Rattus norvegicus: one gene and its partner. The protein of the gene in region 2 binds, or shares a complex with, the protein of the main gene of each other region. Links are inferred from orthologs where the notes say so. Each region holds a gene or a part of one and is shown on either strand. Other genes may lie near its edges.

Region 1 (4,204 bases), on a different chromosome or scaffold from region 2:
GAGGTAGGGTTAGTCTCCCAATGCAGCCTTGGCTTGCCTAGAACTCACTGTGGAGCCCAGACTGGCCTTTAACTCAGCAGTGCTTGGCTCTGCCTTCTGAGATCCGGAGCTAAAGGCCTGTGCCGCCATGCCCAAGCAAGACAGGTGTTTTGGATGTAATCTTGTTTGTGAGCGACTCTGAATATTGCAGATTTTCAGCTGGAAAAGAAATGAAACAGAGCTCAAGGGTCGCACATTCTCAGGCCTTCAGCTCAGTTCCTTGCTATTTTAACATTTTTTTTTTTTTTTTTTTTTGAGACAAGATCTCTCTCTGTGTAGCCCTGGTTGTCCGAGAACTCACCCTGGAACCAGGCTGGACTCGAACTCACAGAGATCCGCCTGCCTCTGCCTCCTCAGTGCTCGGATCAAAGGCATGCGCCAACACTGCTGGGCTATTTTAACATTCTTATATGAAATATCTCTATATTAAATGAATTGTGCAGGCACTCATTCTTGTTATTTTAAATTGTATTTACTTTTTTTTTTTTTTTTTTTTGGAGTCGTGTCTCTATCATCTGTTTTCCCTCCTTGCTGTGTAGCCCAGGTAAACCTTCAACTTGAAACAATCCTGCCTACGCCTCCCAAATGCTGGGATTATAGGCAAGGGACACCATGCCAGGCAATCTCAACAGTCAATTTCGCATGCTGTGCCAGCAAGGGACTTCAACAAGATTCCAGGATGAAGGGGGATCCTTTCCCTCCCCACGTCTTATTTTTCCACAGATCCGGTCTCTGCAGCTGTGAAGAAGGCAGGCTCTTAGGCCCTGCTTTGCTCAGGTGGGTCAAATTCCTGTCCCCAGTTTCCCGTTCAATAAGTGTCCCGACCCTTTTCCTCGGAAGAAGGAATAGGTTCTGACCTGTATTGTTCCATAAACCGAACACACCTTTGAAATTAGCCTGCAGTCAGGGCCACGCAACACTGCACTGTCCACTAAAGCGGGGAGCAGGAGAGTTCACGTGACCAAGCACACCTGCCTGAGCTGGAGTTGGCTTTCTGCTGGTGAACCCTCTTTCTGTCAAAACAAGCCCTCGGGCGGGCGGCCTGCTGTGCACCCTAGCCTGGTAGGTAACACTTAAGGAAGACTGAGTCTGTACTGCTAAGCCATCTGGGAGGACCTATGGGGCGCAGGCGCCCCCTCCCGAGCCCCGCCCTCCTCCTTCCTGGTTCCCTCCTTCATCCTCCCTCACCTTCGCCTCCTCCTCCGAGTAGGAGCCTCTAACCAGTTCTCTTGCCCTCCCTCCTCCCCTTCCCCAACCTCGCTCCTCCTTCCTCCTGCGACCCCGCCCCTCCCCCCTCCGCCCGGCTGCTTCGCCGGGCGGCGGTGCGCAGGCGCGGAGCCGAGTCCCGCTGGGCCGCAGCCGGTGGCCGGCTCGCCGTGGGCCCGTACCCGGCTCTCCACACTCGGTTCCTCTCGCTCTGCGGAGACTGGAGGACGAACCCCGTGGAGCTGTGGCGGCAGGATGGCGCAGACCGCCATGTCCGAGACTTACGGTAGGACGCGCGGGCTTGCGTGCGAGGATAGAGGGGCAGGCCTTGGGGTCCCGGAATGTTGGGGGCTGGGGTCAGTCAGGGTGTCCAGAGCCGGTGTCTAGACTATCGAGATGTCGTGCAAACCTCGCGGTGTCAGGGGCCAGGTGGAGATATTGAGAATCTTGGGTTGTTTAGGGTTGGGTTGGGATTCTAGTCATGTCAGCAGTTGGGATCCTGAGAATCTGGGTGTTAGGGGCCGGGTGGAGATACTGAGGATCCTGAAGTGTCAGCGGCTGGGAGCCTGAGATTCTTGGGGTGTCAAGGTCGAGCTGGAACTTGAGAATGTCTGGGTGTTTCAGGATAGGTTGGAATCTTGAGGAGCTAGGGGTGCCAGGCGCTGGGCTGGACTCGGTGGCCAGCAGGTGCCCCCAGCTGTGCAGAGCTGCTGTGAATCTCTCTCCCAAGGTCCCCCCTGCTTTGACCCTGGTTTCACCCTACATTTTCCTCCTTGGGTTGTTTAAATGGCTCAGGGTTGGAAGAGCCAATTTATCGTTGAGTTTCCCCCCTCCTCACTGCAGCACCAACCGCGGGGATGAAGGTTCTGGGCCACGCCTGCATTCAGTGGCTCTGGGGGCACGGCTGTGGGCCTCTCAAGGTTTGGAATTCCTTTCTTTGCATTGAGATTATAATGAGTTTTAAGTGGATGAACGCACCTCTTTTCTGGAGACCCCTGGCCTCCTGTATCTTTCCCTTCCTCCCTTCCTCCAGCATATGTTTGCATTATAGAGATTTATAAATATATTTCCTCTTTATGGCCAGAGGCCTTGGATATGGAGCTGTGGTTTTGTTTTTTTGGTTTTTTTTTTTTTGTTGTTGTTGTTGTTTTCGTTTTTTTTTCATCTTTTTGTTGTTGTTGTTGTTTGTTTGCTCCTGCAGCACCCAGGCGTTCTCAATGCACGTGCTGGGTGCTCCCCCTCCCCCAACCGAGGTAAGACTAAACAACTACTACTATGCATGGTTGGCCCACGCTTGCCTGTACTGAGACCTGAAACTTTGACTCAGTCTGTGCTGGTCCCAGAGAGGGACTCCCACGGAAAATCGTGGTGATCTGTCAGGTGATCCCCATCCAGTATGTGCCCCCTGCTTTCTTCCTGCCACAGGGTGGGGTCAGGGTACCTCCAGGAAGGTTCTACTCATTGTCTGAGTGCGATGGAAACCTCCCCAAGAGTTTGCAGTCCAGCGAGGAGTAGATTTTTATTTCAGATGTGGCCTTAGTGGGTGAACAATTATAAGCCAGGCAGCAGCTCTGAGGGATTCAGCACGGCTGTGTGAGAAAGAGCTGACCTAGATGGGTCAGAGACAGGCAAGTGGACAGGCAGACCTGGGGTTCAGGTCTGGGAGTGTGGCTTGGGCACCTTACCTTGAGAAAGGTGAGGACACAATTGAAGAACTTCGGCGGTTTGGACTTTGAGAGGGTGGGACCCTGGAAAGGGTGTCATGAGGCACACAACAGCCTGGTCCACTATCACCCAGAACCAGCATCCACTCTTCCTGTGGCACTGGGGCATAATGCTTGTCCCTGTACGCTAAAGGCACTATCCAGTGGGTGACTGGCTTTGTCAAGGCCACAGGTGGCCTATGTATGCCTCTGTGGTGTGGTGTGGTGTGGTGTGGTGTGGTGTGGTGTGGTTTGATTTTTCTGCCAGGAGCCACTATAAGAAATGCCTCCAGCAAAATACACTCTCTAGCTCATTGTCATCCTTTTCTTTGAGTCGCCTGAGGAGTTCCTGGGAGGAGTAGAGCCCTCAAAGAAAGCCTCCCGGTGTCATGGCCAAGTGAGGCAGGAGGAGGACAGCATGGGAGGCAGCCTTGTCCCTTGGTTCTCTCAGGAAATGATAGGTAATAAGGCGGACATCACCACACACCCTCTGCTTCACGGCACGCAAAGTTAATTAGGGTTTGCTCACCACAGCGTACTGATTAAACTCTGATCGTGAAGCTGTCACTGTTAGTATTACCTCAGGGACTGGAGATAAAACTCAGTGGCAGAGAGCTTACCTAGCATGTGCAAGATACCAGGAGGCACACACATTTTGTGTGTGCCTGTTTATTAATTTACTTATTTCTAATTTACGTGCATTGGTGTTTTGCCCAGGTGTATGCTTGTGCGAGGGAGATCTTGGAGTCACAGACAGTTGTGAGCTGCCATGTGGGTGCCTGGAATTGAACCCAGGACCTTAGGAAGAACAGTCAGTGCTCTTAACCACTGAGCCATCTCTGCAGCCCTGTGAATATTTACCTTTTCCCTTATTTCAAGGTATTTTTCCCAAATATGACTTTAGTTTTATTTTTTTGTTTGTTTTGAGACAGGGTCTTTCTCTATAGTTCTGGATGGCTTAGAATTCACCGTGTAGCCCAGGTTGGCCTCACACGTATGGCAATACCCCTGCCTCTGCCTCCCAAGTGCTAGGATTATAGACATGTGTTCCTGTTTCCAGGGTTTTAATTTTCTTTTCTTTTCTTTTTTCTTTCTTTCTTTTTTTTTTTTTTTTTGGAGCCAGGACCGAACCCAGGGCCTTGGGCTTGCTAGGCAAGCGCTCTACCACTGAGCTAAATCCCCAACCCCCAGGGTTTTAATTTTTAACTAAGTCTGAATCTAATATTTCTTTCAATGGAGGAAACGTGTGTGTGTGT
Region 2 (3,538 bases):
TTTAATCCCAGCACTCAGGAGGCAGAGGCAGGCAAATCTCTACGTTCTAAGCCAGCCTGATCTATATCATGAGTTCCAGGACAGCCAGGACTACATATAGTGAGACCCCATCTCAAAAAAAGAATAGAGCTGGGAACGAACCTCTTGCACAGCGCTTGCCCGGCCCTCAGGTTCTACTCCCAGCTCTTGCAGTTTAAAAAGGAACTAACGAGGACAAGTTATAACTGTGCGCATGAGGAAAGTAAGCTGTACAGTGCCCTCACTTGTCAGATAACCTGAAAGGAGACAGATCTGTCAGTGGGGTCTACGGCTAGGCTGACACAAGAAAGCCCCAGAATGATGGCCCTGCTGCTGTAGTTTGGCCACTATTTGATCCTCAGAAGGTTCCTAGAGACACACACACTCAAAGGAAGGCACGCATACAAAGCATTTAGCACAGTGCTTAATTAAGAGATCTCAATTCGTTCCCTTCCACTTTCTCTCCTTAGCAGGACTTAAGGCCAGTAAGATGCCTATCCCTGAGGGTTTACTGATTGATGCTTTCTCAGTCAGCTCCTAGAACAATACCTAACCCAGTCAAAGTAGGAGGGTGACCTGTTGAGAAGAAAGGGTTCAGTGGGAGAGGGAGAGGATCAGAGAGGATGACAGATGAGGGTGTAATGACTAATCTTGGCTGTCAACTTTACAGTATCTGAATCAACTAAAATCCAAGCTGCCAAGGACTCCTATGAGGAATTTTCTTAATTAGATTATTTAAAACAAAAAGATCTGTCCTAAATCTGGGCCACATCTTCTGGTGGCAGCCCACATAAAAGGCTATGGAAGAAGGAACTTTGCTTTTTAGTCTGTTTGTCCTCAATCTCAATGGCAAATTCGCCCATTCTGTCGCTGCAGAATCCAAATTCTTCAGGACTGCAGCACAGACTGAAGCCCAGCAGCTCTCTAGGAATCCATCAGTTTGTGACTACAGAGACTAACAACTACAAGATTCTCAGCCTCTCCGTCTTGAGATAGCCAGTTTTGAACTACTAGAAACATATTCTATATTCTATCTGTTCCTTTAGAGAAGCCGGACTAATACAGGGAAAATATAATCAATGTGTGTGTGTGTGTGTGTGTGTGTGTGTGTGTGTGAGAGAGAGAGAGAGAGAGAGAGAGAGAGAGAGAGAGAGAGAGAAAGAGAGAAAGAGAGAAAATAAAATTTTAAAATTGAAAGAGAGAGAGAAATAAAATTTTAAAATTGAAAGAGAGAGAAATAAAATTTTAAAATTGAAAGAGAAATAAAATTTTAAAATTGAAAAAAAAAAAAAAGACCTAAAACAGGGTAGATATCTCATAAGCACTGAATGAATTAATAAATGTTCTTACCAAGCTCTTGAGGTTCCCACATGTAAGGATCAACCCCTCCATAGCTGAATGATTCGTATCCTTGGGTCCCTGGCTCCACACGATCATCTCCTTCTCGTTTCAACAACTTGTTCTTTGCTTTCCTAGCCTTCTGAACAAGATCTTGAAAAAAAATAAAACAAATACCACAAATAAGCCCAAGATTATATAAAAGAAATAAATGCACAAGAATATTCAGATCTCAAGAGAAATACAGCAGTAAGTAAAGACCTTCTTACCAACCCCACAGAAGTCAGGACCAGCAGAATGCTATTCATGTTTCCAACATACAGGCTAAGTACCTGCTTACTGCCAAGTTTAATAGTCCATCTAAACATAAAGAGCCAAATCGGGGTTGGGGATTTAGCTCAGTGGTAGAGCTCTTGCCTAGCAAGCGCAAGGCCCTGGGTTCGGTACCCAGCTCAAAAAAAAAAAAAAAAAAAAAAAAAAAAAAAAAAATTAAGAGCCAAATCAAATTCAATGAGGGAACCAGGATGGTAGATTTTTGTTTGTTTTCAGACAGGGTCTGTCTATGTAGCCCTAACTATCCTGGATGACACTACACTTACCTTGAACTAGCAGACATTCACCTAAACTAAACTAGTTCTCCCACCCAAAACTAAAGGTGTGTACTACCATGCCTAACACAGTCTTCACTTTGTAAACACGACTAAACTATCCTAAACAAAAAGGGCAGTCCGCACTATTTAACCACTTTGGACAATAAAGGGACTGTCTGCTGAGTAGATGTAGTCTTTCCAAAGGAGCCCAGTTAACCCACCCATGCATCTTTGAAAATAAAACAGAAGCTACAGTCAATTTTCAACCATCTTTTCTTCTGGCTACTGTAAAAGGGCTTAAATACTGCTGGACCAGGGTTGGCTCAAACCCACAGACACTTTCAGAAATAGTGAGTTGATCTTGTCTACTTAAAACTGACTCCAAGGGGTTGGGGATTTAGCTCAGTGGTAGAGCGCTTGCCTAGCAAGCATAAGGCCCTAGGTTCGGTCCCCAGCTCCGGGAAAAAACAAAAAAAAACAAAAACAAAAAAAAACAAAAAACTGACTCCAAGAGGCAAGTGAGATAGCTCAATAGATAAAAAAGTACTTGCCACCAAACTTAAAGACCTGTGTTTGACCACCAGCACCCAAATGATAAGAAAGAACTTACTCCAGGAAACTATCCTTTGACCTCCACAGATGTACCATGGCATATGCCCCAACCAACACAAAATAGATGAATAAATGTAATTTTAAAAACTGCCTTCGAAACCTGATACCTGTATGCAATATTTTGGTATTCCATTTTTTTGTTATAAATATGAATGCTATTAAGGCCTACATAAAATATTAAGGTCTAGATAGAATGTTAAGGCCTGTTATCTGTCTAGTGCTGTTACTAACATTATAAGGAAACTTTCTCATATATTGCTTCTGTTACTAGGAAACTTTCTCATGTCCAAGTTGATTATGTATTCTATTATGCTCTGTACCCTTGGAAACCAATCATGATAAAATCAGTAAAACTGCTTTGTATAGTTACCCACAACAAGTTTGGACCTGAACTCCACCCAGCAGCACTTCCTGAACCTGTGTATAAGCTTTTATGGTATTTGCTTTTATAAACTCCCCCTGGGATGGACCCTAACATAAGAGAGACACCTGTACCACTATAAGAAACTATTTGGAAAAGACTTCCATTTTAAGTAGAGGTCAAGTGAACTTTAAGTTCCCAAGACTTCCCTGGGAACTGACATACTACTTGGCAGAAAGAAAAATGTATGTGGGTAACTGACATCCTGGTTAGCAAGTTAAGACATGAATGTTAGACAAGTCCCATCTTGGTTGACAAGTTCAGACAAGGCAAGTCTTCTACCATAGTTGAATCCTCCAACCAATGGGAGCGGGGTAAGTGCACAGCGAAGGCATGGTCTATAAAGAAGTCCCCATCCCTAAATCCTGACTGGTGAAATAACTTGTCACAGATGTTTGTAAATTTCAGGCTTATTAAAAAGCCCTACAGGATCTTGACTTATGGTCACAGTCAGCTGCCAAGTCTGACCTGTGGCCCTGATCCATCAGTCTGGGGTGTGGCATTCATTAAGTCATACCTCTTTGACTGAGCTTGGTGTTTGAGTGGCTTGTGCAGCGAT

The links.
Region 1: the proteins of Rbsn (region 2) and Rab4a are in contact, whole or in part, in a crystal structure (PDB 1Z0K), measured with the Homo sapiens proteins. The link is inferred for Rattus norvegicus from reciprocal best matches to the Homo sapiens genes RBSN and RAB4A. Residues at the interface, in NP_001289307.1 of Homo sapiens: Glu441, Gly442, Trp443, Leu444, Pro445, Ser447, Glu454, Pro458, Leu459, Gln461, Gln462, Asn465, Ile466, Phe469, Asp480, Glu481, Thr484, Leu485, Asn488, Leu492, Glu495, Gln499; in NP_004569.2 of Homo sapiens: Tyr10, Leu30, His31, Ile34, Glu35, Ile46, Gly47, Val48, Glu49, Phe50, Gly51, Ser52, Lys53, Lys63, Gln65, Trp67, Arg74, Phe75, Ser77, Val78, Ser81, Tyr82.

Annotation. Positions count from the first base shown.
Region 1 is NC_086037.1:68,691,703-68,695,906, forward strand, and holds the start of Rab4a (ras-related protein Rab-4A), read left to right. Parts: upstream 1-1,378; 5' UTR 1,379-1,500; coding exon 1,501-1,531; intron 1,532-1,538; exon of another isoform or gene 1,539-4,204. UniProt on the Homo sapiens protein: The small GTPases Rab are key regulators of intracellular membrane trafficking, from the formation of transport vesicles to their fusion with membranes.
Region 2 is NC_086022.1:126,259,696-126,263,233, forward strand, and holds part of Rbsn (rabenosyn-5), read right to left. Parts: intron 1,510-3,538; coding exon 1,369-1,509; intron 1-1,368. UniProt on the Homo sapiens protein: Rab4/Rab5 effector protein acting in early endocytic membrane fusion and membrane trafficking of recycling endosomes. Required for endosome fusion either homotypically or with clathrin coated vesicles.